Linked DNA regions of Arabidopsis thaliana. The protein of the gene in region 2 interacts with the protein of the main gene of each other region in a pairwise test. Each region holds a gene or a part of one and is shown on either strand. Other genes may lie near its edges. The genes, in order: AT3G56370, AT5G47530, HAE and CRK37.

Evidence for each region.
Region 1: the proteins of AT5G47530 (region 2) and AT3G56370 interact in a protein complementation assay, tested with the Arabidopsis thaliana proteins (one large-scale study listed by BioGRID).
Region 3: the proteins of AT5G47530 (region 2) and HAE interact in a protein complementation assay, tested with the Arabidopsis thaliana proteins (one large-scale study listed by BioGRID).
Region 4: the proteins of AT5G47530 (region 2) and CRK37 interact in a protein complementation assay, tested with the Arabidopsis thaliana proteins (one large-scale study listed by BioGRID).

What each region holds. Positions count from the first base shown.
Region 1 is NC_003074.8:20,897,002-20,905,459, forward strand, and holds AT3G56370 (Leucine-rich repeat protein kinase family protein), read right to left. Parts: upstream 6,080-8,458; 5' UTR 5,834-6,079; intron 5,460-5,833; 5' UTR 5,390-5,459; coding exon 3,960-5,389; intron 3,867-3,959; coding exon 2,402-3,866; 3' UTR 2,098-2,401; downstream 1-2,097. Other genes in the region: AT3G56360 (uncharacterized protein), read left to right, coding at 1-341.
Region 2 is NC_003076.8:19,278,206-19,284,750, reverse strand, and holds AT5G47530 (Auxin-responsive family protein), read right to left. Parts: upstream 3,378-6,545; 5' UTR 3,281-3,377; coding exon 2,654-3,280; intron 2,525-2,653; coding exon 2,270-2,524; intron 2,187-2,269; coding exon 1,881-2,186; 3' UTR 1,690-1,880; downstream 1-1,689. Other genes in the region: AT5G47540 (Mo25 family protein), read left to right, coding at 1-92, 198-272, 377-470, 569-628, 746-814, 904-1,002, 1,080-1,124, 1,214-1,316 and 1 more; RABA5a (RAB GTPase homolog A5A), read left to right, coding at 6,385-6,545. UniProt on the Arabidopsis thaliana protein: May act as a catecholamine-responsive trans-membrane electron transporter.
Region 3 is NC_003075.7:14,074,982-14,083,317, reverse strand, and holds HAE (Leucine-rich receptor-like protein kinase family protein), read right to left. Parts: upstream 5,643-8,336; 5' UTR 5,425-5,642; coding exon 2,823-5,424; intron 2,751-2,822; coding exon 2,353-2,750; 3' UTR 1,861-2,352; downstream 1-1,860. Other genes in the region: NAC073 (NAC domain containing protein 73), read right to left, coding at 1-68, 155-304; DMP7 (transmembrane protein, putative (DUF679 domain membrane protein 7)), read left to right, coding at 7,307-7,597, 7,686-7,997; AT4G28480 (DNAJ heat shock family protein), read right to left, coding at 8,227-8,336. UniProt on the Arabidopsis thaliana protein: Receptor with a dual specificity kinase activity acting on both serine/threonine- and tyrosine-containing substrates that controls floral organ abscission. May interact with the 'INFLORESCENCE DEFICIENT IN ABSCISSION' (IDA) ligands family.
Region 4 is NC_003075.7:2,235,304-2,242,628, forward strand, and holds CRK37 (cysteine-rich RLK (RECEPTOR-like protein kinase) 37), read left to right. Parts: upstream 1-3,069; 5' UTR 3,070-3,107; coding exon 3,108-4,065; intron 4,066-4,156; coding exon 4,157-4,281; intron 4,282-4,365; coding exon 4,366-4,576; intron 4,577-4,667; coding exon 4,668-4,905; coding exon of another isoform or gene 4,906-4,906; exon of another isoform or gene 4,907-4,978; coding exon 4,979-5,135; intron 5,136-5,212; coding exon 5,213-5,464; 3' UTR 5,465-5,618; downstream 5,619-7,325. Other genes in the region: CRK38 (cysteine-rich RLK (RECEPTOR-like protein kinase) 38), read left to right, coding at 6,813-7,325.

The DNA.
Region 1 (8,458 bases), on a different chromosome or scaffold from region 2:
CAAAGGCGGAGGATTGGACAGAGATGGAAGGAAAGTGGGGTAGAGGAGAAGAGAGGACGCCGGAAGGAGTTATATTGGTGGAGAAGCTCGCAGACGGTGACATAGCAGATGATGATGATCACGATGGTGGCGCGTGTGGGGAAGATACAAGCGCGTGGGGGATTGTGGCGCAAGGAAGAGGATCGGATACTGGGCCGGTTTGTTATCTATTGAAAACGACCCGGGTCCGGTCGGGTATGGGTACGGTTTGCACCCATTTCTGTTTGGTTAAGGTCAAGAGTTTTAGGGAAACGGCTATGTCACAGTTGAATAATTCGTGGTTGGTGCAGACTGGTCAATGAGCAGTGATTGTCAAAGGATTTGCACTGTAAATTATTTATACTCTTTGGGTTTTGATTATGAAACCCTTATGGATGATCAAATTACATTTGTTATTAATACAGAACATTTTTTAGGAATTTGGATTGGTGATATAAATGTAAATAAAATGGTCAAAGTTGGTTGGTTATAGTGATTTGTTTAATCAAAGAACATTGTTAGTTTTGTTGCTATTGTAGTATAGAGGATTTGAATCAAGACAAGTAGACAACTTAATCCGTGTAAGATCTATATGCAATTATGCATTCATTAACACCACAATAAGCAAAAGTGTAGGTGGATTTAAAACTTCTGTTAGTGATCATAGTGCAAAGCCTATAGCTGATACTGCCAGAAGTTGCATTAGAGTTCATAACCTCCGTCGGAAAATTCCGGAGTCGATCTCCGGAGATGGAAAAGAGAGAAAATGAATAAAACATGGTCGTGATGGAAAATTATGGATTGTTTGATTGGATCATTTATATGGATTTGGATATTGGATTTAGATTTTAAGGCCCGTAAATATATGGAAGGTATAGGCCTTTGTTCCTATGGGCTATGAATGATCCAATGTTTATTTTCTTCTTTTTTATGAATTCTCTGAAAGAATCCAATAAATTGAAATGACATACAATAAGCTAATCTAAAGGGGCCAAGGAGTTTCATTGTTTATGACTTTGACAAGCGATACACATTTAGCAGCACAAGACATTTCACGATCGGACTTACGGAAGTGAATGATTACACTTAATCAACCACCTCTAAATTATTGGCATCACCATCTAAGACTCTTAAGTTATGGCTTAATTATGATCACCATTATATATATTTTTTTTTTAACATTTCACAATCTTATTTTTTTATTTTTTTGGTTTATACAAGGTTCCTTTTTGGGATTTTTTTGGAAATAATCCAATAAATGAAAATGACATATATACTGTATAAGCTAACCTAGAGGAATTAACTCATATATTAATAAGCTGTATATATTAATGACATGAAAAAATGTGTATAGAAAGATGAATTATTTTTTTCTCCAACCTAGTTATAAACCGAAGAATTGATCGGTAATATAATAATAAGCTGTATATGGAAAAAGAAAAAAATTATAAATGGAAAATGTCCCTTAAGTAACTTATTTTTTCAGGTTCCATTTCAAATGGAAAAAAAAAGTGTTAGCATATTTGGCTTAGAAAGTCAAAACGTTAGATGCCATCTCACTTTAATGCTATCATGTACAATATTGAAATGGATTTTTAACTTATGAGTTAAAATGTCAAAATGTTGCAAATTACCGAGGCTAGACAACGTAGATTGTAGTACTAATTTCGTCTTTCCCAACTCCAAGAGAGAAAAACGTGGTCTGTTTCAGACAAGGCATGCTCCATTCCTCTTTTATCGGCCATTGAAACTAGGGTTCTTCTGTTAAAAATGTACTTATATTATCCCTCAAAAAGATACTAATGAATAATGTATTTTAATTACAGATTCTTGAGACGTTTCTTCGATTCCCATAATCCAATAAAAGATCAGACCCATTAAATTGTTGAGTTTTCACAGAGTCCCATGCACATGGTTACAACAAATGAAGCTTCTTAAGTTATTTTATACTCTCTTTGTTCAGAGAGCATCATCACACGAAGTCACTAAGTTTTATCTTGATTCTTGTTTTTCTCAACCCTAAGTTTTTATTTGTCTCACAAGAAAGCTCTTATCTTCTACGACTGCTAAAAGATGGTTCAGAACCTGAAATGAAGACTACAGGCTTTCTTTCATAATAATACTTAAGATTTCATCGAAAGAGTCCCATATTATGGAACCCGGTGAAGACAAATCCGATACAGCCCTAAAAATGTTACAAGAACAATAAATAGAAGAAGCTACAAACATTGAAATTGAAACTAACAGACACAAAAGATAACACATAAGAGATTATCAAAAAACAAACACAAACAAGGATTTCTCTTAAAACCCCCAAATGAACAAACCGGATTCCTCTTCGCCGGAACTTGGTGAAAAAACATGTTAGTCTTTAACCTTCTTTTCAACTTGAACCCAACTCATCTGAGCTCCCTGAAGGGCATCTGATCATCCTCAATATGTTAACAGCTTCTCCCATATGTGGTCTACTTGATGGAACCTGAGAAGTGCAAATAAGCCCTAGCTTTATCACTGCAACCGCTTCTTCTACCGGAAACTTCCCTTGCAGCCTTGGGTCAATACATTCATCTGCTCTTCCATCTTCAAGAGCTTCTCTCACCATATCACACAAAACCACAACATCATCTTCCATATACTCCACAGGCTTTTTACCTGTAACCACTTCAAGGACCAAGACTCCAAATCCATAAACATCACATTTCTCTGTTATTTTCACCGTTCTACAAGCAAACTCTGGAGCCATGTATCCCAACGCACTCTGTATCTTGCTACTCAGCACGTACCTATCTAGCATAGGTAACAGCCTCGCTAATCCGTAGTCTCCTACTTTAGGCTCACCAGAGCTGTCTAGCAACACGTTGCTCGATTTGATGTTGTAGTGGATGATGTTTGATTGGTGCAAGTAAGCTAAGCATTTCGCTGTACCAAGGATAATGTTGAACCGATCATTCCAAGAAAGCGAACTATTACCTCCTGGTGCTTCGTGCAACTGTTTGTATAAACTCCCACCAGAGAGAAACTCATAGATCAGAAGCTGGAGAGAAGTTGTCCAGTAATATCCTTCGAGTTTAACCAGATTCGAATGCCTGAGTTTTCCAAGTTTCTTCACCTCTCTTTCGAATTCGTCCTGAGACTTGACAAGACTCGAGACAGTGAGCTTCTTGATAGCTACAGGATACCCATCTCTGATAACTGTTCTGTACACCGCTCCAAATCCACCTCGACCAAGCTCACAGTCTTTGTTAAGCAGAGCATGTGTTCCAGTGCTGAAATCAGGTTCACCAGAGAACATCACCAGCTTCCCTGAGTTGCTATCAGTAGTGGGAGATCGACTGAAGTCATCTCCGCCTGAGAACGTGAGCGGTACTGCTGATCTTGAAACCGTTGATGCGCGCACTCTCAGATTAAGTACCGTGATGGCTATTACACCAACCACAATGGCTGCAGCAGCACTAATGGCTATCAAAGAAGATATACTAAGCAGTATCCTTTTGTGACCAGCACCTGGAGGCACTATTTCACCATTGTAAGGATCGAAAGTTGCATTAGGATTCAACACAATCGGTTTAGGGGAGATGGCAGGACAAGACTTATTGACAACAGCACCGCAAATTCCCGGGTTTCCTGATACTGAACTTGGGGATAAACCGTTGAAGATTCCACCTGCAGGTAGTTCCCCAAAGAGATGGTTATGAGATATGTTGAATGTGTGAAGATAGCCGAGATTAGCCAACTGTTTAGGAAGTGTTCCGGCCAGTTCATTAAATGATAAGTCGACTTCTTCGAGTCTTGTAAGTTTAGCGAGCTCTGGTGGAATTGAGCCTAGCAGCTTGTTATGTGACAGGATCCTGTAGAAAGAAGCATGAAACAGAACACAGTTAAGACATAATCTTCAATGGGAAAATCTTAACAGAATGCAACCTAAAGCAAAAGAGACTTACAAAGACCGAAGGGAACTGCAATTCTTGATGGAAGATGGAATATTTCCCTCCAACAAGTTATTTTCAAGTCTCAACTCCTCCAAAGAAACAGCTCCACCTGTTTCTCGAGGAATCATTCCATTGAGCTGATTGTGACTCACATCAAGGACGCTCAAGTGCTTTAGTTCCCCAATGGTACTGGGGATGGGGCCGGTAAGAGAGTTTCTGGACAGATGCAATCCCTCCAGGTCTCTAAGATCTCCTAGACCAGCTCCAATCTCGCCAGAGAATGCATTGTGGGAGAGATCCAAAACCTGGATCTTCTTGATACCTCCAGTAGAGTTATCATTCTTTAATGCAGACACATCACGAGAACCATCTTGAAATAGCCACATGGGAAGCTTTCCAGTTAGTGAATTCCCACTTAAATCTAAGGCCAAGAGGTTGATACAGTTGGCTGTTGAGACCGGCAAGCTACCAATAAGCCCATTCCCAGAAAAGTTGAGAACTTTCAGTGCTAGAAGGTTGCCTATGGAGTCTGGAACCTGCCCTGAAAACTTATTCATGGAAAGATCCAAAGTCTCAAGACTCCTCATTTCTCCTATCCACTTTGGAACTTCACCTTCTAACGCATTCTTTCCCAAGTTCAGAGAATAACACAAACTGAGCTGCTGAAATGTATTTGGTAAGCTTCCTGATAGAGAGTTTTCACTAAGATCAATAGTCTTCAGCAGCATACAGCTCCCAATTTCGCTAGGAATAGGACCAGATAACCGGTTTCTACTCAAATCAAGCGCACGCAAGTTGTTCAATCTATCTATCTTCTCTGGAAACTCTCCCTCTAACTCATTCCTCGACAAATCAAGTGATCTTAGAGTGTTCAAAGACCAAATCCCCAAAGGCATAGAACCAGAAAAACCATTGGAAGACAAGTTTAAAGCAGCAAGAGACGAGCACGAGCTTATACTAACCGGAATCTTCCCCGTTAGTTTGTTCTTCGCCAGAGATAAAACTCTTAATGACCCACATTGCCTGAAAAACTCATCAGGAAGCGAACCAGACAAGCCATTGCTACTCAAGTCAACAACCTTAAGGTTAACAAGGCTCAGCAGCATATTAGGGTTAATGATTCCCGTGAGATTGTTGTTGGACAGAGAGAGCTTATGAAGAAACTGAAGCTGAAGTAGGCCACGACCAATTCGACCAGACAGAGAGAAGCCATCTAGATTTAACTCAGTGACTCGATTCGTCCTCGGATGGCATTTGACTCCGTTCCAACTACAAGGAGTGTAGTCATCTTCGTTCCAAGAAGCTAGCTTTTGCTCTGGATCTCGTAAATCGGCTTTGAAGACAATGAGCCCTAAAACGTCGTCGTTTAAAGGCGGGTCTAGAGATCTCACCGGAGCTACTGCCGACACCAACAAGACTGTAAAAATCAGTGCTTTGTACATCTTTCCACAACCCTCTTCTCCGTTGAACAGATTTTAGTTGCGGAAGACCTCCATTTTCAGTTATGTAGAGCTGAAATTAGAAAGAAGAAAATTGGTGAACACAAGAGAAAAAAAAAAACAGTACATCTCAAAACAAAAACTTTGTTTGTTCGTATTCTTAGGCGTTAGATTTAGTAGAAGAAAAGAACAAAAATCTATCTCAACGGCTACATTTCGGCCAACGGAGGAAGCAAAACAAAGCAAAAAACAATGAAGAAAAATCCGGTAAAACAAAGGCTAGTTATATGAATAGAAGTAGCTACAGTTTACTTGAAATTCATAGAAATTGAAGAAATATTCAACCTTCAAGTGAATGGCTGAAGTAAATGTTGAGCAAAATAACTTGAGTTTTTTTAAGTAAAGGAGTCATTGGACAGTTACGATCTGGAAATGAGGAATTCTCACCTAGTAAGAATTTTCTCCGGGAAGATTTCCGACGAAGAATGTTGCAGCTCAGGGGGAAAAAAAACACCGTAGGAAAAGAAAGTGAGAGAGCACGAGCTTCTTCTTCTTCTTCAACTTTGTTAGGTTTTGTAGCTTTAAAAGAAGAGTGAATTTGGGAAGAAGAGAAAAAAGCCAATAAAGAAAAAAAAAGAGAGCAGAGAGAGTAATTAAAAGCTGCCTTTATCAACGGGCTGGAAAGAAGAGAGTGTGGGGCCCGAGGAAGGTGGGTGGACTCATTAAAACTCTTTAATTGACACGTGTATTTATTTTGTTGGGTTTGACGAATCCGACTTGGCTGACACGTGGCTTTTATTTTTATTTTGTGTTGGTATAGTAAGTGGGAAAATGAATAAATGATTGGCCAACTCATAAAGAAAGAAACTATAAATTTGAATATGACTAAATTATCCTTCCCAAATAATAGAAACTTTCTTTAATGGGTTTACATGCTGCTCTGTGGCCTCTTGGTATGATTCAACTAATTAGAAAATAATCTTTCACATAAAATGGAAATAATGTGGAATGTGGTTGGTTCTGTTATTCTCATGCAGAGAATTGGTATTTTGGGTAAAAAATTATGCAGAAAGAGACAGTGGTTAAAGTGGTCACCATAGTTTTGGTTTTTCATTTTTTTATTTTGATTCTCTATTTTGTTTTTTGAAGTAAGAACATTAAAGTAAGTTGGTGAGGAATGATGATGGTGTCCTGGAAAAAATATTTTGTGGTGCTTAGAGATCATTAATAATTGCAACCATAATGTTATTGTTCATTTATGTACAATGTCCTGGTCAGTAGTCAATGCATCAAACTTATTAATTATGGGTTTACAAATTTTCTTGAAAAATTATGGGGTTTTGAAATTGGATCACAAACCTAAGGATTTTGGTTGACTTGGAGGAGCTACAGATGTAAATTTTGGATCTTCTGTTTGTGCAAGGAATCATACATTATGTAAACTTTTCCTACAGATTGAAATGCGGTTGAATAACTAAGTGTCAAACACTTATTGCCATAAAATAAAACATTAAAAAAAACAGATAATAGAACAAATGATGTTGAAAAAAATATTATAATCCGTTAAGCATGCTCTTGGAATTTTTTTAATTGTTGTCTTTCTCGTTTGAGATTTGGTCCGAGTCAAGACATTTTATCAGACTTCGGTCTCTCTCCCATACCTATGTTTTAAAATTTTATATTCCTTTTGACAGTAAAAGTTATTTATTATGAAATAAACAATGAAAAATAACTCTTTTCCCCATGGAAGGAAAACAACCCTTCATGGAAATTTTGGAATTTACTATTTGTTTCTATTTGCAATTTAACAAAGAGGCCTTTTTTACTTTTTAATGTATTCTAAAAATATAGGGTCAAATTTACTACTGTTTTTAAGAGCTTTCGAGGAATTTTTTGGGCAGTGTGAGCCGGACCGTAGCGAATTCACATTTACTGTTCTTCGCTTTCCATCTATATGAAGAATTTACCCTTTGTTTGTTTTCTACAGTTAGTATTTATTTCCACATTCAATTTTTACTCGAATCTTCCTCTGTCATATCAGGATTGGCATTTAGGACCAGCCATTAAAAGGTAAAATATTTACTTTCCGGTGATGTAAAATTCCAAATTTTCTTATATTTATTTAATTATTGATTACTTACAGTTTCATTTTTTATTCCATGGTAAATAACTACGGATAAGATGGGTCCAACTCTTCCATTAGAGGCCCATTAATGAGAAACGATAAATGGGCTCAGATAATAATAAGGCTTATCAAAGTTCTACAGTCCGAATTATATTTCAGGAAAGAAAACAAATTGAACTAAAGAAATGCGACTCGCAGCTACTTATAACGCGTTACAAGGCTGGCCCATGCAACTATGCAGCTATCATATCGGTCAAAGATTTCGTATTAAAATTTGAGGTTTTCACGATAATTAAAATTGACAAATAATAATATACACATCGAACAAGCCCATAGTTTAAAAATTCAAATACTAAAAATGATAATATATCTTAAATTTTAGAGAATCATGGGGACTTCGTAACTGAGATTCTGATACAGATTTGTGATCCATTTTGAAAATTAAATATGATTATAAATTTGCATCTTCATTATACGCACGATTAGAAAAGCCAAACAAATGGGAAATTAAAAATTAATATTTGGATTTTCGTTATCATCGTACAAGATCACAAAGCACTGTCACTGACATAAAACACCAAGTTTCTTACCAGTTTCCAGAGAATCAAATACCAAGAACAAAACCACAACTTGTTGTATCTTAAATTATAAGGAAGATAAAATCATATCAAATCATTTCTTGATATATTGTTATCCTATATATCCATATATAAATTAACAACATAATTATATATATATATATATATATATATACACATCCATTCTCAAATCTTTTTAATGTATCATTTCTCTGTTTTTCTCTCCTTCTTCTGTAAGTTTGTCTCTGTTTTCTTTAGGTTTGAGAATTAAAAGCAGTATAATGTATTAGTGTCTGACTCATTTATTCTCCTCCTTCTTGTGCAGATTTTTGTTCTTTGTTGCTTGACTCACAAGGAACAAAAACGATA
Region 2 (6,545 bases):
GCAAATCTACAGAGGCAACAGGTTAATTCACGGTTGATTGCTTCTGATTATTTAGAAGCCAACATTGATCTCATGGATGTTTTGATTGAAGGGTGAGTCTTGTGTGTTACTATCATTGAAGTTATTAGTTGGTAGTTTTTCCAAATTAAGAGATACCACATTTTATCATTTTTATAGCTTTCCATGTTTTGTGTCAGCTTCGAGAACACAGACATGGCTTTACACTATGGTGCTATGTTTAGGGAGTGTATCCGTCATCAGATTGTGGCTAAGTGAGCCAATCGTTTCATTTTCTTCATTTTACGACCTATGGAGTAATTATGGATTCAGAGAATAACGGAAAATGTGTTTACTAACTTAATTTCTTTGGATTCAGATATGTTTTGGAGTCTGACCATGTGAAGAAATTCTTTGATTACATACAGCTTCCAAATTTCGACATTGCTGCCGATGCTGCTGCTACTTTTAAGGTTCCAAAACAAAACTCGCATTTTTAGCTTGGATCTTTCCCTGTCTGGGACTAGTAAACATGCAATCATAACTCCAAACCTGTCATTTATTTTCACAGGAACTGCTGACAAGGCATAAGTCTACTGTTGCCGAGTTTCTCACCAAGAATGAAGACTGGGTAAGTTATGTAGCAACAATGCACTATGATATATGCTTGAAGACAGAACATTGTAATTTATCCTCTGCAGGTCCTGCGTTCAAGTCGTATAATAATCTCAAACTTTTTGGTTTGCAGTTTTTCGCAGACTACAACTCAAAGCTTCTTGAATCAAGTAATTATATAACCAGACGGCAAGCTATTAAGGTAGGCTAACTTATACAAGAATCTAAAACATTGAAATGATGGTACTGGCTGATCAATCTTATGTACTGTATGGTGTAAATGTTAAACAGTTGTTGGGTGATATATTATTGGATCGATCAAATTCAGCTGTGATGACGAAATATGTGAGCTCGAGGGATAACTTGAGGATTCTCATGAATCTTCTAAGAGTACGATGCTTTACTCTCCGTTTTTTTGTTCTTGATTATAATAGTTTGGGAAATAAACTCAATCGCTTGAATTACAGGAGTCAAGCAAGAGTATCCAAATAGAAGCATTCCATGTCTTTAAGGTACCTACATTAACGAGATGTAACATAATGATGATTGTCACTTGTCAGTCCAACGTGATTGTACTGAGATTATCGTCACTGTTGTGCAGCTGTTTGCAGCGAACCAAAACAAGCCTGCGGATATAGTCAACATTCTGGTGGCCAACAGAAGCAAGCTTCTGAGATTGTTGGCTGATTTGAAACCAGACAAAGGTATGAAACTAATCTTGTTAAGTGAAACGCTTGTATCCGATCCTTCTGCTCCTTAACCTTATTAAAGCATTGTTTGGTTCATTTGGTTGACAGAGGATGAGAGGTTTGAAGCAGACAAAAGTCAGGTTTTGAGAGAAATCGCAGCCCTTGAACCTCGAGATCTTGCTTGAACCAACTAATGCAATTCATCCTTCCTTCCCTTTTAAAACACTCGAAAAGACATTTTTGAAGCATCTTGTTGTTTTTTTACATTAGGTAACCAATCTTCCTCTCACTTTCTCACCACACACACACACACACACACACACACACACACACATACACATACGAGATATCTATTCGATATATGTATTCATATGTACACTACTTCACTGTCGATGAAATAAAATGGTTTGTCAAAAGCTCACATCATGAATGTTGTAAAAGAGCACAAGAGTCTTTCAACTTCAACAACTATTAAACATCAAATGTATTAACTTAATCTCGAAAACAAACAAAAATTAACAACCACAAGCCCATAATGACCAAATAAACCAGAACATTTTACTCTAATCTTTACAGAGTCTACACGTATAGAGACCGACCATCGTTGCCTACTCGTTGACTTGTTTTCGCAGATGCCTCTGCTTTCCCTCTCTTTATGACTACATACCAAGTAAACCCTTCGAGCACAACCGCGACTATACCTAGTACTACGATTATGGCGGTGTAAGCGTTTCTCCACTGCTTCTCAGGGCTCAGGATGTCTAGTCCTTTAAAAACGTTTACCACCGCAAGAATGATCACTGAATAGCCTACAGTGTGGTGATAAATGTTCCAGTAGACTCTGTACTTGTGCTCTGGTTTGGGTCTCAAAAACATTGCAAACACCTAACGTGTGAAACAAGCAACTTAGTAATTGCAACATATTCATGACAAGTGTAATACTCTCTGTACTGTTAACTAAAACCTACCTGAATTGTTGCGAGGCAGAAGAGAGCGATCCCAACAGCACGGTGAAAGGTAAACTGAATCCCGGCTGATTCGTTGCCCAGTTTGAGACCGGTCGCCCAACCGGCAACACCAATGATGTAAGCAGAAGACTGGCAGAAAACATGAAGGTAGAACCAAGCAGGATCTGCTGATTTTGAGACTTTCAAGTAGCGAGCAATGATTGCTCCTATTGGCATCATTATACCCCAGCTCACACCGTTCAATATTCCATGTATCTGCAATAATGATTAGGAGTGATAAGTTTCATAAAACCAACTAACAATGATGGGATTGATAAATCTCATTTCATATGTGAGATTCCTAAAAAACATGAAATGAAGAAATTGATAAAACCATGGACTCACGTTGCGTTTGCGTAGCTTGGAAGCTCCTCCTGCTCCGGTAGAGGTGGATCCAGATGCACCAGAGACAAGGTTAAGAGTAGAAACAGAACGAACATTGTTGCCAGAAGTTGGATGAGGCAGAGGATTGTTCCCTGACAGTGACCCATCTTGCCACACAGTGTTAATGATTCCACCATTCGCAAGTGGAAGATTCAGAATTGCGTAGATGACCATCTCGTTGTTTTGGTAAGTGGCAGACAACTGAGAGACGTTGAAACTCAGCTCAGCTTCTAGGAGACTCGTTTGGTAGCTACTGATGGGTGACGTATAAGCCCTAACGGTGCCGTCTGATTGTGGATAAGCCACAATGGCTTGAGCTCCGACCATGCCAGTAGATGTGGGATTCACGGCCCATGCCACCCATTTCCCGGGGGTGAGCTTTGTGTGGCGATACGCGATTTGGAGATTGCCTGAAGAAGAATCGTAAGTGTAGTGGAGGAAGGAATCAAGAACAGGTAGGTCGTTGCAAGACTCAAAGAGACGGTTGGTGGAGAATTTGTAGTTGGAACATTTCTGAGCCAAGGCGGATTTGGTGATGATGAAAATGAAAAGAGAGAGACAAAGGAGAAGATTTGAGGATATGGCCATGGAAACAGAATCTCGAGTAATGATTAAAAGATGGATGAATGATAAGATTTAAGTATGAAGGGGAAGAGAGGAGAATGAGATTAAGTATGAATAGAAAGTGGAACAAGTAGGGTTTGGTTTGTTAGTTAATCTGTCTTAATACAGAATCTCTAATTCTCTTCACACGTGTCCTTTTTTCATAGTTTAATCTTTCTTTTAATCCTCTGCTTTTGTTCTTGTTCATCTATCAATTGCAATGTTTTACCTAAGAGTAAAAAATAGAAACATTATAAATGAAGCGTTCATTGTTTTCCCAAAAAGGTTTGACGTGTAATGTATTTCTTCCTTAAGAGTCTTTAACCCTCTCAAGCAAAAACCAAGAAATAAAAATATGAAGGGGTCATCTTCACGTTCAAAAACCAGTTCACACCAACTTTATTACGAGAACTCATTTCTCGTGTTTATTTTTTCTTTGTTTGTCATGAAAAATCTTTTTCATTGTATATAGGTTTTGTCATGACATTGCGCGTTAAGTTAGATTATAATCTTGGTACGCTTGGGAATTGGGATGATGATAAATTATTGAGCACACTAAAATATTAGGTTTCATTGGGTTTAGTGGTTCAATTGACGAAAGTAGACTAGCGAAGGGAGTAGTGGTTTTCGCGTAATAAAGGGCAAACACGTCTATGCCTGCAACTACTAACGTTGTGCATGTATGATGTACCCTAAGTAAACATCTACCACCTTATGAGTATGGACTGGAGCGGACCAGACCAACAAACTGTTTATGAGAGATTCCAATCCAAGGGAAGTGGTTGGGTTTAGCTATTTTTAGAGTTATGTTCTTCTATATATAGGCCGCGACCAACATTTCAACGGTTAAGACCATGTACATGAGTGATATTTTTAGAATATCATCAGTGTAAAAATTATTTTTTTATTAACCAAACAATTAGAATGAGTTTGATTAGTATCATTCCAGTGATTTTCTTGATATCAGTATCATCTACGTGACATCTCCTGATTGGTAGCATTTATTAAAAGTAAGAAAAAAAATATTTATCTATTAAACAAACATTATAAATAATACTAAAATTTTTTTAATGATACTTTGAGAATATCACCTATAAGCATGCTCTAACCAGGTGGATGTATAATAATGTCCTTTCTTGGTCAACGCTCAAATTACTACCTGCCACATGTCCCCCACTAGATTCTTTGGTGTAGCTGGGCTCAGTTTGAACTAGACTCTTTTATATGGGCTTAAGTGTTAATTATCAAAAAACAACCCAAAATGAGATATTTAGATATAATATGTTTTTGATGGAAAAAAAGGAAAGATATAATATGTTTTTTTGATGAATGAAAAGTATTACAATTATTCAAAAAATCACTAGTTTCCTGAAAAACAATACAAATTGCATAGTTTCAGAAGGATAATCTGATTTGGGTAGAGTTTGTTGATGTTAGAAATATAAATATTTTCTTTTATAAATAAAATAGGATGGAAAATCCATCATATTTGAAAGTTTTGTTGTGTCTAATAAATAACAGTAGAGTGTACATAATCGGTAACTTTTTTTTCCTTAACTAAAATTTTAAGTGAAACTAAAACAAAGGTGGTAAAAAAAAGTAGAGCCTATGGTAAAATAGGGTAAGAGGGTCCATAAGGGCCCAAGATGTTTTATTTTTGCTGAGCCCATTATTACCAATCCGAACCGAAATGGAAAAACTCCGGTCTCTTTCTTTCTCTCTCTCTCTGCCAGAGTTACTGCGTGTCTTTGATTTCCCAGAAGAAGGCGTTGAATCCTTTCGTTTTCCGATTCCATTTTTGGGATCTCTTGTTTCGTTTTCTTCTCTTTGGATCCATTCCATTCCCATGTTCCCCAATTTCTTTAATCGGTGTTGCTTCCACAAGGTAATTTTGTTTTCCTCTGCACTTCCCGAGAATAAAGAGAAGGTTTTTCTCAATTTTCCCCTTATGATTATCCCTGTAAATGCGAGTTTTTTGTCCTGTTTTGTCTAATGGGTCTTCATAATTCGTGATCATCAACGTTTTCTCTGTCTTGTGTGTGTATGTATGTGTGTGATCTTACATCTGACGGGAATGTAATGTGATGATCTCTCATGTAAAATTCTGTTTTTACTTGGTTTGATTGTTTCTATTACAATGCTCTGTTTTTGCTTTAAAGAGTTCTTACAATATCTCCTCCTTCTCTTTTGCGAAAATGGGTTCTTACTTGGGTTTAGTTTCTTAGGTGAAGTTTCGATTATTTTTTTGAATTGGTGTTTTATAAGTTTTGATGTCTCATCATCTTTTTCAGAAAGAAATGTGTGGCCTACTTTCATTTTCTAATGCCGTATATGAAGATTTTCATATTCAGGCAGATATTATAAACCTGCAGCAATCATTAACTCGATTCATCTTTAATGTGAGCCCTAAGGACAAGACTGAGAATTTTCTATCAGTGTTTAAGATTGCACTTTGTGTGATCAAGTGAATGAGTATTGTTGGTTGAATTGGGCCCGCGCTTGTCTTTTCTGTCTCAATTCTGTTTCTCCTTATGATAGAGAGAATATTTCTCTGCTTTCCTATTGGTGGCTTTCATGATTTGTGAATAGTCAGTATCTACCGACTTTAACTTAGATTCTTAGGGTGAGATTATAACTAAAGTTAGCTTTACTTGTTGTATATAGGCTTCATGAGCTTGTATAACAAGTTTCTCTAGGAGGTGTTAAAGAGCCAGATCAAGCTTTCAGAAGAGGTAACTTGTATTGCTGTCTTACTTTGGATCCAGAATGCGTTTATGTGCTGAATACTTTGCTTGTGATAGATTTTCTTAGGGTGGTTGAGAGCTGAAAGTTTTGATATTTAGTCAACTTTGTTCCACTGAACCTTCTAGGAAGCTACCTCAAGTAGACAGGTGATCTTAAAGATTCTCTTGTTTCTCTTAGATCTCAATCTTTACTGTTTCTCAAGTTTCCTATGCCAACTCTACTTATTCTTGTCTTCCCTCTTCCTCACTTTGGCTCTTTGTTTTGTCCTTAGCTTTGTTGACGGGCTTCAAGCCAGTGGTAAAGATATGCTTCTGTAGAAGGGTTAATCTTGAGCATTAAAGGACATGGCTTTCTACTCTGAAGACGACAAGAGCGAAGACTACCTCTTTAAGATTGTTCTAATCGGTGATTCTGCTGTCGGGAAATCAAATTTACTTGCCAGATTTGCGAGGGATGAGTTCTATCCCAATTCAAAGTCGACGATTGGAGTGGAGTTTCAGACACA
Region 3 (8,336 bases), on a different chromosome or scaffold from region 2:
AAGACCTCTTGATCCGTCGGATCAAATTTTACTCCAGCAGGAAGTCCCGGCAAGTCATGGATCCCAGCCTACATTACATATTAATATATTATATTCAAATATCCAATATCATCTAAAGTTTAAACTTGATATAGGTAGAAAGAGAAACAAGAACCTGTTCGTGAAACTTGAAGTTATGGCCACAAGAAGGGCAAGTTTTGTGACAAGAGACCGGAAGTGAGGCTACGGGGGACTCAGCCGCCCCCGGGGAGGGAATGATTCTTTCAACGGTCTGAACATCGCTACGGTCATTGCACCAAGTCATGTTGTTTTGTGTCCCTAAGTTTAATTCTTCTTGTGCATATCTCTCTTCTCCTCTCTTCTTTTCTTTCAGTGCTCACAACTTCATCAGAATAAACAAAGGTATGAGGGAGAAATAGAAAGAGAGAAGGGAAAAAGGGTTAAAGATAGCTAAAGCATATGTTTCATAAGAAGATCTCTTTGAGGTTATCTTGAGAAAGAGGAAGGAATTAAATTCTTGTTCATCACTTTTTTAAGCTGAGATAATTGCCCCTTTTTGCACTTGATTTTAACTCTGTACTATCCATGAAAGAGAGAGATGAGATAATCCTAGAAGAAATATTATTTAAACCTCATTTTTATAATGTGTACAAATGTTCTATATACTGTATAGTGAGAAATAATTATTTAAAGACTTAGGTTTGTTTAACAAGTATGTAGAAACATACATGTTAAGTAACAACGAGAGGGAGATGCCCACCTACAACTTGAAAGTAAAGTCTAAAGAACTATGAAATTTTCAAACCTTAATTAGTTTTACATTGTAACATGTACTAGTTTGATAAATTATTGGAACTATTTTTCTTCGCTTTTTTTACAAGTGTGCATGTACATATACAGTTTTTTGAAGAAAAAAACATATAAATTGAATAGACTTTAGTTTATTCTTAAAAATACATATATGTGATATTTTGAAGAATAAATAAATGAATAACCAAGAAGGAAAGAAAAAAAAAGATTGCTTGGGTTTTAAGTTTGGTTGGGCTCATGGCATGTATGTATGGTGTGTGAGAGAGAGATGGACAAAGACTGATCAAACAAAATAACATGAAAGACAAAATCTTATGAGGGAATACATATGTGAGCTAATCTTTCCTTTTTTGACAATAACATGCATGGAACAAAAATAACTTGTCTTGTCGTAGTTTGTGTGGGATGATCTCTATATCCAATGTATAATGTTGAATGTTGAGTAAAGATAATAAAACCTATAACTAATCAATTAATCTTGGTAATTTGCTGATTAAATGTATAGGATTTGAAAATGAATATGAGATGGAGTAAGTTTGGGGCAAGGTGTTGTTGCTGGTCTGTGAGAGCTCAGACGTGATATGGTAGAACAAAAAATAAGAAAGAGAAGTTAAGGTCCAATGTCACCCTAGAGTGTATGTAAAGATATTATACATAAACTTATACTTATAATTTACACATATTTAACATCTCCATCATCAGTATATTACTGTATGTACATAAATTTTACTGAAATCACATACTGATATTAGTGATATACGTTAGAAAACATTATAATATTGGTTTTTAGATAGATAAAAAGAAAAAGAAAAAAAAAGAAAAAAAATGGAAAGTTAAAAAGCTAGTCATTATTCTATTTCTTCACGTAGACTTCTCATGCATAACATTAACAAGGAACCTCCTCAACCTTTATTTATTTTTTCTCTTTGTTTTCTGATTTTTGTTTCTGCTCTCCCCTGTTAACTCTAAACACATGTTATACAACCTATTCTTAATTTATTATCAAACTAAACAAAAAATTATGAACAAATGTTACACTTCTGTGTCTGTTGGAAAATTTTGTGGTTAGCTTGTTGTTTTCATTGGTGGATCGAAACCGCGGCAAGGTGTCATTCAAGAAATCTATCTAACCACATTATACTGACATATGCTGTCTATGCTTGGCTATTTAGAATTTACTTTTTATAATGGCATTAGTATTACCACACTAAGTTTTACTTTATAAGAATATGAAAAAAAAATTAGAAAAAAAAATATTGATCATCACTCGTCAGAATCGATCCGTTTTCCAAAATTGAACTGGTAACGAGCTCGAGTTTAAATAAGGTTGGCTATTGGGTGGACCAACCACCAAATATTGCAAATATTGCGTTAAATTAAAATTAATATCCAAATTATAACTTTATATTAGCTTTAAGAGCAATTACCTAATCAGAAAGCTCCACTTTTCTGTTTTTGATATCTTTCTTACAGTTCACCTAGCATCATAACATCAAATTGCTATCCCCGGCCCAAACCGATTCTCAGCCCATATTGGAATGTTCAAACGCTGTTCAAGTCTTCCGTGTAGTAAGGCGAGAGTTTCCCACCGGTTTTAGATCGTTTAGATGTGTTTGGACTGCTACAAGGAACAGCACCAGAGACTTCTTGAAGCATGATCACAACTTTTCTCATGGAAGGTCTGTTTAGAGGGAGAGGACTCGTACAGAGTAGACCAATGTGAATGACTTTACTAATTTCTTCTTTGAACTTGAGATCGAGTTTGGGATCGATCACGGGTTCTAAACCGCATTTGTCAAGTGCAGTGCACACCCATTTTGCCATATCTTTATCTCCAAGTTCTGAATCAGTTGGTTGCTTCCCTGTAACCAGTTCCAAAAGCACCACACCAAAGCTGTAGATATCGCTCTTTTCATTCACCCGAAGTGTGTATACGTATTCTGCAAAATTGAAAACTATTAATATAAGATCAAAAGTTACAAAATGCAGCTGAAATATGTTTTGGTTTATACCTGGTGCAATGTAACCACAAGAACCGGCGATCCCGGACATAGCTTCTGGAGTTTTGGAACCACTCATCTGACCGACTTTAGCGATCCCAAAGTCAGCAACTTTAGCCCCATAATCGCTATCTAGCAGTATGTTACTCGACTTCACATCGCGGTGCACAATGGGAGGAACACAATCATGGTGCAAGTATGATAAACCCTCGGCAGCGTCCAAAGCAATCCTCAACCGCTCTGGCCAACCCAACACAACACCGCCTTTGCGGTCACCATGCAACACATCAGCTAAGCTCCCATTAGGCATGTACTCATACACCAACAACTTACAATCACCAGAGCTGCAACAACACCACAAACGCACAATACTCTTGTGCCTAATCGTCCCCAACGTTTCAACCTCCGCTGCAAAAACATCTCTATTCAACGAATCACTACTGTATTCATCATCTCCTCCTTTAACACTTTTGTTAAGTTTCTTCACAGCTACAACTTCTCCACCTCTAAGCTCAACTTTATAGACTTTACCAGAAGATCCAAACCCGATTACGTTCTTTTCATCGAGACAATCAGCTATCTCGTGCTCACTGAAATGAAGCTTGTGGAATGATCTCCATTTCGACGCTGCTAAAGTAGAACTCTTCAAAGCTCTGAGTTTTCTACACTTGGCAATGAACATAACGATCCCGACAACGAAAACCAAACCGGCGAGTAAGAAAATCGTTAAAAGAATCCATACATAGCCGATGTTTTTAGACCGTGTGATCTTCCGACAAAGGCCGTCGAGATCAACACATAAACCGGGATTTCCGATGAAGTCATGTGCGTAGATTTTATTAGCGTAGAGAGGAGGGATTTTACCGGAGAGGTGATTATACGAAAGGTTTAAAACGTTTAGCTTCAGATTCTGTAACTCCAACGGAATCTCACCGGAGAATTGATTGCTTGAAAGGTCAAGGTAATTGAGAACAGGTAAGATTCCGACTTCTTTAGGGATTTCACCGGAGAGATGATTATTAGCCAAATTAAGCTCGTTTAGATTCTTCCAACCACGAAGTTCTCTAGGAATCTCACCGGAGAGTTGATTCTTACTGAGATCAAGCCTGCTCAATTGCTTCAATTTCACCAAGCTTTCAGGAATCTCACCGGAGAAATCATTCTCCGCTCCGGAAATCTCGATTATTCCGTTAAGCGATCCGATTTCGTTGGGGATTGAACCTGAAAATCGATTCTTTGAGATTCGTAGGTTCGATAGATTCTTCGCGCCGATGATCGTCTTAGGAATACTTCCGGTGAACGAATTGTCAGAGAGTTCGAGAAGTGACAAGCGAGGCAATCCCCAGAATCCATGTGGGATTTGACCCGAAAGCTTGTTGTTACTCAATCGGACCCGGGTCAAGCTCTTACACTTTCCGAGATTATTAGAGATTTCTCCTGAAAACGAATTGTCTATAAGAATTAGATACTCTAGCTTCCCTTCACCGCAGACATTCGCCGGTATTTCGCCGGAAAATCGGTTATACGATAAGTCCACGTACTGTAACGGTGAGTTAGCGCCGAGTTGACTCGGTAATACTCCGGTGAGTCTGTTGTTGAAAAGCTTGAGTTCTGACAAGGTTTTGGAGCGAGTTATGCTCTCCGGTAAAGGACCTTCGAGCATGTTCTCGAAGAGATTGAGTGACTCGAGGTTTAACAGATTCAAGTTGTCGGGTATTTTTCCTGTCAGCTTATTCATCGACGCGTCGAATCTTTTTAGCGTCGTCATGTTACCCATGGATTCTGGTAACTCGCCTGAGAACGAGTTGTTGAATAGTTCGATTTGCTCGACGGTTTTTAGCTGCGTGATCCAACTTGGGATAGATCCTGTGAGTTGGTTAAATGTCAAATCCAAGTTAACCAAACTAGTTAACCGGGACAGAGACGGAGGTATCGGACCGACGAGGTTGCAGCCGGCGAGCCAGAGAACTTGGAGCTCCGTGAGGTTTCCGAGTTGACTCGGGATTTGACTCGGAGAAAACAAATTGTAAGCGAGTTTGAGTTCTTTAAGAGTCGTGACGTTACCGAGAGAGGCGGGAATTGTACCGGAGAGGAAGTTACCGGCGAGGTTTAAAGACTCAAGCTTTCGAAACTCTCCGAAGCTCGACGGGATCGTGTCTGATAAGTTGTTTCCGGAGATTTCAAGGAACTTGAGGTTTGGGAGATTGAAAGGAAGTGACTTTGGGATGGATCCAACCAATAGATTCTCCGATAAATCAAGACTGATGAGATTGTGACACGTATCGAAGTCGTCGGCGGAGAGAGAGCCATTGATGGAGTTATTATATAGAGAGAGGGAATGGAGAGAAGGAAGGTGGCAGAGGATGGAGGGGAAAGGTCCGACGAGCATGAAGCTTGAGAGATCGACGGAGACAACGTTTGACGTGGCGTCGCAGCTCACGCCTAGCCACTTGCATGGGGTGACGTCGTTGTTGTCGGACCATGAAGATAGGGACTGGGCCGGGTCGGATAAGCCCAGTTTGGCTTGCCGGAGAATGGTGGCATCTTGGTTTAGAGATAGACTTGGTAGATACGTAGAAGAGAGACATAGGAGGAGAATAAGACAATAAAGCATTTTTTTGGAAAAGGAATCGTTATTCTTCTTTTTTCATGCTTTGGATTTGTGAATAAAACGAAATTATGGATTGGTAATTATAAGGAATTGTAGAAGCAAAAAGGGAAACGAGCACTGTGACAAGACATGGGTGAGACATGTTTTCCGATATTGGAAGAATTAGGAGGCAATAGTATACATCCATGTGAAATCGATTACGGAGCAAAGTACTACTGTACATATAAATCATAAACAAATTTGTAAAGTGATATTAAAAAAAAATCGGATTATGAATAATTACATAAGGTAATTTTATAAAAAATATTTTTTTGATAAATGAACAAACATTTAATTGTTCATTTGAAAAGAAACAGAATGGACCAATGGTCACTCTCCAAGTCAACTGAAATGCTATGATGGTCAAAATGATGGAGACAAATGGGCCATGTAATGCTGGATTTATGTTGACTTTTCGAGTCTGCATATAAAGCTTCTGGATTAATGTTATGAATGCATAACTTAATCACTTATGTGTGTGTGTATACTGTATTGTGATGAGGACATATCCTATGATTTTATATCGATGATCTCGAAAATTTGTTAAACCGAAAACTTAGCCACCTATGATCCCAACCCTAGATTGACTAACAATCTTTTAATTGGAAGTTTAGAACTATAGTGATGCTTCCAAGTTCCAATTGCTTGATGCGCATTTGTGAAGCCACGTGTATATGTAGACAAGGTCAAATTTGGTTGGTCGGAGAAACATGATCTAACAGTAGATTTTGTTAGATTACTTTCATTTCGATGGGAAAAGCAACAGTCACTATGATTTGAAAAAACAACGAGATTTAAGGGGGGAAAGAAGAGAAAATGATAGATCATGGCTTTAATCCGTGATCGAATATCACGAGTTTGCGCGATGGTACAACGCACTATGCACTATGATGTCACCTTAATCCAATAATGTTTAAGTCTTTGGTCCTCTAACGATAATGACTTTTCTTCTTCTTAGTTTGCATTCCCTTTACGTCTCCACAAGCACTCTGCCTTTTAATTGTTTTGGACTTTTGCTGTTAATAACGATATTCTCTTAAATTCTGTTATTCTGAAGCTTAATTCGTATGGAACAAAGAAGTAAAAAGGGTTTATTAGTGTATATAGAGTCTCAACACAACAGAGTCTCAACACAACAGAGACTCTATATACACTAATAGGGTTATACGTGATTTTTGTTTCGTTTTAAAAGTCCATATTTCATATGATTTACCAGTATGCAGTATGTAAAAGTTATATGAAATAGAGGTCACCTAAGTTCTCGTTCATATATTCTTATGAACAAACAAATGAAATTGCAGGTCCACTTCACAACCGATAACCTCTTTTAGCCGAAGAATAAATTCGTTCAAAGACCAATTTAATACAATTCTTTATGGTCCATACGTTAGACAGATTAGAATTAAGCCACGTCTTTGGAGAATTCTAATCTAGATTATTTTCGAAAAACTAGTTTTTACTAGTTTAGCAAAGTTTTACTATATCAATATAATAAAAGTAACTTTGATAATGATATATCTTCTTAGGAAACGGTGACAGAGTTTTAGTTTAATCCTTTCTGTTACAAAACTCCTATTTCTTGTTTCGTTACTCAAATGTTATTTGGTTTTTACGTTTTTTATTGCTAATCCTGACATGCAACAGAAACATAAAAATGGAAGAACAGAATATCAACCTTGAAACCTGAACAAACAACTCAACGGAAGCAAACACCAAAAAAGAAAGAAATCGAAACCCATAAAATCTTGTGCAATTCTTTCAAATCAGAATTAACCATAGAGACAAAAAAAAGAAACATATATAATCATTCGAATTTGCAGAGTGATTAACGAAAAAACAATTGAAGATGGAGGAGACGAAGCAGTCATTGATAGCATCGTTGCCGTCGGCACCAAGAAAACCAAAGTCGAAAGTAGAGAGAGTTGTGAGGAAAACATTCAAAGGAACAGCTCATCTATCAAATCTGCTCCCAACCGGTTCTGTAATGAGTTTTCAAATAATGTGTCCGGTCCTAACCCATCAAGGTCAGTGTCCCACCATCACCAGTCGCTGGCTCACCTGCTTCCTCGTCTCCTTATGCGCCATCTCCTGCTTCCTCTTCTCCTTTACCGACTCCATTAGAGACCCAAACGGCAAGGTATATATACATATCTCTGTCACATTTTCCGCTGTTTTGTACCATTCATAACAACTTGTTGACATAAGCACCAAACTTAATGTTGCAGGTTAGGTACGGGTTGGCAACGTGGAGTGGGCTATTAGTGATGGATGGATCGATTACTTTAACGGAGGAGGAGAAGGAAAAGTATAAGCTCAAGATTCTTGATTTTATTCACGCAATCATGTCAATGCTCGTCTTCTTCGCAGTCTCCATGTTTGATCAGAACGTAACCCGTTGTTTATTCCCCGTTCCTTCCGAGGAAACCAAGGAGATTCTTACCAGTTTACCTTTTGTCATCGGCGTCATTTGTGGTGCCTTCTTCCTAGCGTTCCCTACACGCCGTCATGGCATCGGATCTCCCCTTACCAAAGAATAATTTCATACTCTAGACAAGAACTGAAAAACTTTTGTATAACAAAAAGATTTGTGATCTTCAATTTTTGTTTATGGAGGACATGTACCAAATCTTGAAAAAACTATTCTTTAAAAAGAAGACTTGTTTAACAACACGAAATTTAATGAAGAGGGAGATAATTCCCTATAAATTGTATATTACCAAATTTATCCCAATCTCCACACATCACAAGACAGAGATGCTTTAATCATCACCCAATAAGCTTCTTAAACCCAGCTTTCTGTTCCGCAGTTAATCTCGCTGGAAACTTGATATTGAACTTGATCCTTAAGTTCCCTTTCTTTGTCTGATCTTTCTGGA
Region 4 (7,325 bases), on a different chromosome or scaffold from region 2:
AGAAAAGTAGAAATAATTTCGAAATTCATTCATCCACTCCTTCATTTTTCGACATTACCGTTCAAATTGTTGGGTAATTGATTTGAGGCATCCTATTGAACTTTAAAATTGAGAAACAAATTTCATGTTTTCAGAGATGAACAAAATACAAAAAAAACCAAAAATTCAAACACTTTAGCTTTTAAAACTAAAAATACTCTAGGTTTACAAGATTTATTTGTAAAAAGTATTCAAAATGAAAAAAAAAATGAGATTTTGAAAAAACTGGTAAAGACGGCCGCAAAATTAGGTTTGCAAAAAAGGATACAGAGGTTGAAGATGACTGAAAAATTACAGTTATAACCTTCATCGAATTTCTTTTGTGTACGTATATTCAATTTACAATGTACGTACACGAACTTATTTAGTGGAACGTATATGGTACGATTTCTAATAACTTAAGCTATTTTATTACATATTCTTATATCTCAATAATCTCCATACATACATAATAATTAAATAAAAATATATGGTGAAATAATATTTGTTCCTCATATTGAAAAATTATGTACGTATATGTGCAATAATGTACGTACATTTTTGTTGGTAAATTAATGTATGTACATGTGTAGTAATATACGTACATCTTTGTTTGTGAATTAAATTATTAAGAAAAATTTATTGATTCAATAATAAACCGATATTGACAATGACTGAGATATATTCTAAGACTTTCATACGATGTGATTTTGAAACATTCTGAATTCCTGACGACTTGAGCAGTCAAATGTCATGGACAGGTATCATCAACGCATACTATCTCCAATCTTGTAGGACATGACCTAGGTTGCTTATAGCAAAAACATTGTTTGATTGCGAGATAAGACATTGTTTGTTGTATGACTTTTCTGTTCTTAAAAATACTCCTCAATCTATAGTGTACGTACATTGGTACAAACCATGTTGACACGTACTTCTTGGAGTCACAGCTGGTGTACGGTCACCCGAGTGAGAAATGTTATCTTTGTTAGGTACACGCTGACTTGTGTACGTACACGCTGCCAACAGCCGACTGAATTCCCCTGGACGTTGAACAGTCAGTTGAGTGAAAATGAAGTCCTCCTCAACATTCCCTATTCCATATTCTTCTACAATTACATCGTTCCACTTGTTGTAATCATAATCTTCGCCACTACTTTCACTACCATCGATAGTAGGATCGAGGGTACTTCTCCCATAGATCCATAGTCACCCTGATAATCATCATACCCATCACCATTTTCGTTGTCCCCCTCCTATTCATCTTCATCTGTTTTACCGTCTTCAACGTCGTCTTGCTCATCTAGCGCCTCATTATTTTCATCAACATTTGAAACACTATCACACACATGGTCACTTTCAGCATCGTCACCATGAGTCCTAGAGACATTATTTCCGAGTGTCTTGACGGTTGTAATGAAAGAGACAAACAAGTTAAGAAAAAGATACCCACCACGAATCAAAAAGAACGTATCTAACCCCACTTGACTGTCAATGTAGACAGGAGGGCGTTTAGTATCTATCATCACTGACATCTCTCCCGGCATCCAGTAACTAATTATGGGATTGATCTCTGCGGACTTCAAACTGAAAGCCTCGCTTAGTGTACGTCATATTTTCCTTAACACGTACACATCGACCAAACATGTCTTCCTCTGGTTCAAATTTCCATTCTTCTTCTTTGCATCTCCACTCACCGACCATAGTAAATACGGGAATATCCATTACCCAACTGCATCATAAATTCAGGAGAAACCCATTAAATGCAACTGAAAACATGATTATATCTACAAAAACAAATAGAATTTCGATATACACACTTATAAACATAAATATCTACTCATTTAGCATTTTCAACCAACAAAATAGGAAATAAAAGATTTCTGGGTTTTTCTATAAAAAACAAAGTTGATTTCGAATACAATGAAGATCATAGTGTGTTATAACAAAAAACTTCTTAAAACCTTCATTAGTTACACGATAATGCTTGTCTTGGCTCCAAACTTCGTAAATAAACAAGATCAACCCTTCTTCAGCATCACATTCCTTCGTAAAATAAATTTTGTTTCTGGGTTCATCTTTAATTCAACAATTATTATCTCAAATATTAATCCAAAGTAATAATGATTTTGCATTAATTGTGACAAGAGTCACGTCTAAACTTTTTGGGCATTAAATATTGATGGCAAATTGTTTTTCAATGTTAGTAAGCCCCCCTTTTAACTGTACAACCGCACAAATCAATGTTTCTCCAAAATATCTTTAACCAAACCGGAATAGTGTACCTAACTAAATCGTCTAACTTAACCGTACATTCAAACAATATCTAGTTACGCTGGTAAGGGTAAAATGGTCAAATTTCAGCTGAAAAGATAAAACATGAAAACTACCTTTGACTTTGCCAATCTCTGAAAATAAAACATAGTCAAAGGGTGTGACCTGCAAATTACCTTACAAATTCTCCTTCTCCTTTTTTTTTTTTTAATATCTGAAAATTCAAGTCCAAAGACTCTATTTTTTCCCGAGGCGGGATCTACAGTAGGTTAAACTCATCTCTTTTAGATAAGAGATCTCTTTCAACATGCCTCGAACCCTACACCTCCACTTGAGAGATTTACCATTGGACTAACCGCACGTTAGAAAAAATTCAAATTCTCGTTTAACAATGCGTTGAAGACAAAAAGTCTATACGGGATAAAAAACTATTTAAAATGAAAAAATAAATCATTAAAAAAAAGGATATCTTAGATCAACATCACAATTTTTTTATTTAGATTTGATTATCAATTTTCTTTTTTAAAATCACCTCATCAGAATTTATCAAGAAACAATTTTAGCTAGGTCACCTCTAATAAGTGAAATCATTAAACAACGATATAAACAATTATGAAAGTGTTACTCCAAAATTTTATTGTAACAAGTACTAGCTATTACAATTAAATTTTAAGAATATGCTACCACACCTAGTCAAGTCAACTAGTACCCATTTCTCACGTCACATATTAACATGCAATGACGGGTTATAAATTAATCTATCCTATAATGAGAGGAAAAAAAAACCATTTTAACAACCTTATCAATTTGTGTAAATGGGAAAGAGTTGTGTTGTGACTAGTTCCTTCTCGCTTCTCCTTCTCTTCCTTCAAACCCTAAAATATGTTCATGCCGGTTTCATTTGCTACGGCGACTTTTTCAATGTTAACTACGGCGTCAGTCGAACGTATCTCTTCTCTTCTCTTCCTTCTAACGTCGTTTCTAACGGCGGTTTCTACAACGCATCGTTTGGCAGAGATTCCAAAAACAACAGAGTCCACGTTGTTGCCTTATGCAGACGAGGCTACGAGAAGCAAGCTTGTAAGACATGTCTCGAACATGTGATTGAAGACACAAAATCCAAGTGTCCTCGCCAAAAAGAGTCTTTCTCGTGGGTCACTGATGAATTCGACGACGTTTCTTGCTCTCTACGTTACACCAACCACTCAACTCTTGGCAAACTCGAGCTCTTACCAAATACTATTAACCCTAACCCTAACAGTATAGATTCCAAATTCAACAACATGGCCATGTTCAGCCAAGAATGGATTGCAATGGTTAACCGGACACTCGAGGCTGCTTCCACCGCTGAGAATTCCTCAGTCCTTAAGTACTACAGCGCAACAAGAACAGAGTTCACACAAATTTCAGATGTTTACGCGTTGATGCAGTGCGTGCCTGATCTATCGCCAGGCAACTGCAAGAGATGTCTTAGAGAGTGTGTGAATGACTTTCAGAAGCAGTTTTGGGGAAGACAAGGAGGTGGGGTTAGTCGGCCTAGCTGTTATTTCCGGTGGGATCTTTATCCGTACTACAGAGCTTTTGACAATGTTGTAAGAGTTCCTGCTCCTCCTCCTCAAGCTTCTTCTACTATTATCGATTACGGGAGAGACGAGAAAAGTTTTCAAGGAAGCAACATAGCAATTATTGTGGTCCCTTCAGTCATCAATCTCATCATATTTGTGGTTCTAATATTCTCTTGGAAGAGAAAGCAGTCACACACCATAATCAATGGTAAAGTCTTTTAAAATAAGCAACATATATATTCCTTATCTTACTAAGAGTTTGGTTTTAAACTTGACATGTTTTATTTGATGACGTGCAGATGTTTTTGATTCAAATAATGGTCAATCTATGTTACGTTTTGATCTTCGAATGATTGTAACTGCAACCAATAACTTCTCTCTTGAAAATAAGCTTGGCCAAGGTGGATTTGGATCTGTCTACAAGGTAAAGAAACTAGTAAGAAGAGTCCTAACAAAATCTTAAGATGGGTCAGTGATCTTTAATTATAGCATGAGAATTCGTTTTCAGGGAATATTACCAAGCGGGCAAGAGATAGCGGTAAAGAGATTAAGAAAAGGTTCAGGACAAGGAGGTATGGAGTTCAAGAACGAGGTCTTACTCTTGACAAGACTCCAACATAGGAATCTGGTTAAGCTTCTTGGGTTTTGTAATGAAAAAGATGAAGAGATTCTTGTCTACGAGTTTGTCCCCAATTCAAGCCTTGACCACTTCATATTCGGTGAGCCTTCGCGAGACGAGACTTTGCATCTTTGCATGTTACACTACTTTTAGAAAACAAGAAAAAAAAACTGTTTCTTTGAGATGTGCAGATGAAGAAAAACGCCGAGTTCTGACATGGGATGTGAGGTATACAATCATAGAAGGAGTTGCAAGAGGGCTTCTTTATCTCCATGAAGATTCTCAGTTGAGGATTATACACAGAGATTTGAAGGCAAGCAATATCCTTTTAGACGCGGAGATGAACCCTAAGGTTGCAGATTTTGGGATGGCAAGGCTGTTCGATATGGACGAGACTCGAGGACAGACAAGCAGAGTAGTTGGAACATAGTAAGTAAGCTCTGTTTTTATTTTTAAAGATTCTTTGATCAGCATCACTATTAATATGATTTGGTTAATGCAGTGGATATATGGCTCCAGAATACGCGACATACGGACAATTCTCGACAAAATCTGATGTTTATAGCTTTGGTGTCATGCTTCTAGAGATGATAAGTGGTAAAAGCAACAAAAAGTTGGAAAAAGAAGAAGAGGAAGAAGAAGAAGAGCTTCCAGCTTTTGTAAGCTTATCACTTATGTCGATCATCTTTACTCTTCTTCTTCATCTTCTTATCGAAATTTTAAAAATTATTTGCAGGTGTGGAAGAGGTGGATTGAAGGAAGATTTGCAGAGATCATTGATCCTTTGGCTGCTCCGAGTAACAATATCTCAATAAACGAAGTAATGAAGCTCATTCACATAGGTTTGTTGTGTGTTCAAGAGGATATTTCCAAAAGACCTAGCATTAATTCAATCCTCTTTTGGCTTGAGAGACACGCTACTATCACAATGCCTGTGCCCACGCCTGTTGCTTATCTTACGCGACCATCGTTATCACTTGGTCATTAATGAACCGTCAATCATGTATGTTTTATACCTATTTGTCTCTCTCTGTACAATGAATGACAAATGTTGAGAAAAGAGATGCCGTGTAATGTAAGCAAACTTATGTTTGATTTGTGCTAAACTTATTTATATTAAATGAATATTTGATATAGCCAGCGTTTTGGATAATGTTGGAAATTGGACTGAAACGGAGGAACGCATAGATGAAATTAAAGTCCAATTTCTATGAAAGTTCACACGAGCAGAAACAAAAACTTTGATCTAATGTAAGAGGAAATGCGTGCGGTAGGGGTTGCGTAGTCATAAAGAAAGGACATTGAACAAAGGCACATTTTTAAACTTATATGTAAGAGCATCATGGGCTCTTAACCATATTTAGAATTTAAATATTGCACAATCAAAATACCCCTCATGAGTTTTTATTTTTGACAACTCCAATGGTAGAAGTTCTAATGAGGCTCTTAAAATTTAAATTTTTGAAATTTATATGTGTTTGTGTAACACCCCGATTTCAGGAATATGGTGGTGCATACGGTGAAATTTAAAATAATTGATTTGACCATTTATATTACCAAAATGCATTTATCTTTTCGATCAAAGATGTTGAAAATGCTCAAGTAAATAACATTTGACATTATATTTTACTTTTTTCATGTTTACAATAAAGCTTCGTTTTGTATGATCTGAAATATAAAATTTTCTCTATATTTATAACCAATTTACTATAGACTAAATATTTTTAAATTACAAATACCGAATGACTAATCCATAAAACTGTGATGGACACCATATATAAAGCTATATTGGACGATTGTGGGTGTTGTTCATTAAATTGATGATTTCCACTATGTCAAACCTTTCCTCCAAATTTAAGAATGACAAACTATCCAAAATTATTTTCAAAGATTTTTGAAAGACTCACTACGAGTTTCTCAGAAATTAACAATTGTTACAATTTTCACTTCTTTTTTCTTCCTGAATTGTCACATTCTTTATACAGTATATGAGTATGACTCGTAGACCAAGCAAAGGAAGACTTTTTTGGTCATGCATGCGACCAAAAACAAGTACTTACATAACCATATTGAAAGGACAATATTTTCAATACTTCTAGAGAAGAAAAAAACCCTTAGTTCATACGAAGTGATTAAGAAATGTTTACCCTTTCTCTACGGCTATTTGAATTTGAATGGCCATCTTTGAAGTCAACCATTACTCAAATTTTTTCATGTGTACTCAACCAAAACCCATTCTCTCTCATGTCACCTAATTATACACATATATAAACATTTATTACCTCATTAACAAAAAAAAAAACAATGAACAAAACCCTAAACTCCATTGCTTAACAATGATAATGAAGAACTCTGCTGCGATCTTCCTTACTTCTTCCCTTATTCTTCTCCTTCAAACCCTCCACGGAGTTAAAGCCGGTTTCATCTGCGTCGGAAGCTCCTTCCCCACCAACAGTAGCTACCAAAAAAACCGTGACTCTCTCTTCTCTACTCTTTCTGATAAAGTCACCACAAACGGTGGATTCTACAATGCTTCACTCGATGGAGTTCACGTTGTTGGCCTCTGTAGAAGAGACTACGATCGGCAAGGTTGTATCAACTGCGTAGAAGAATCCATTCGACAGATTAAAACAAGTTGTTCTAATCGTGTTCAGTCGTTCCATTGCAATAGTGACGATAGAGAACGTGTTTCTTGTCTTGTACGTACCACGGATCAATCAACTTATCGGATACTCGAGCTTGGACCAGCTACGAATGACCCGAGTCCTGTTGCTATCGACACATTCGCAAAGAACATGACCCTTTTCCGCCAAGAATGGGAAGCAATGGTTGACCGGACGCTCGAGGCT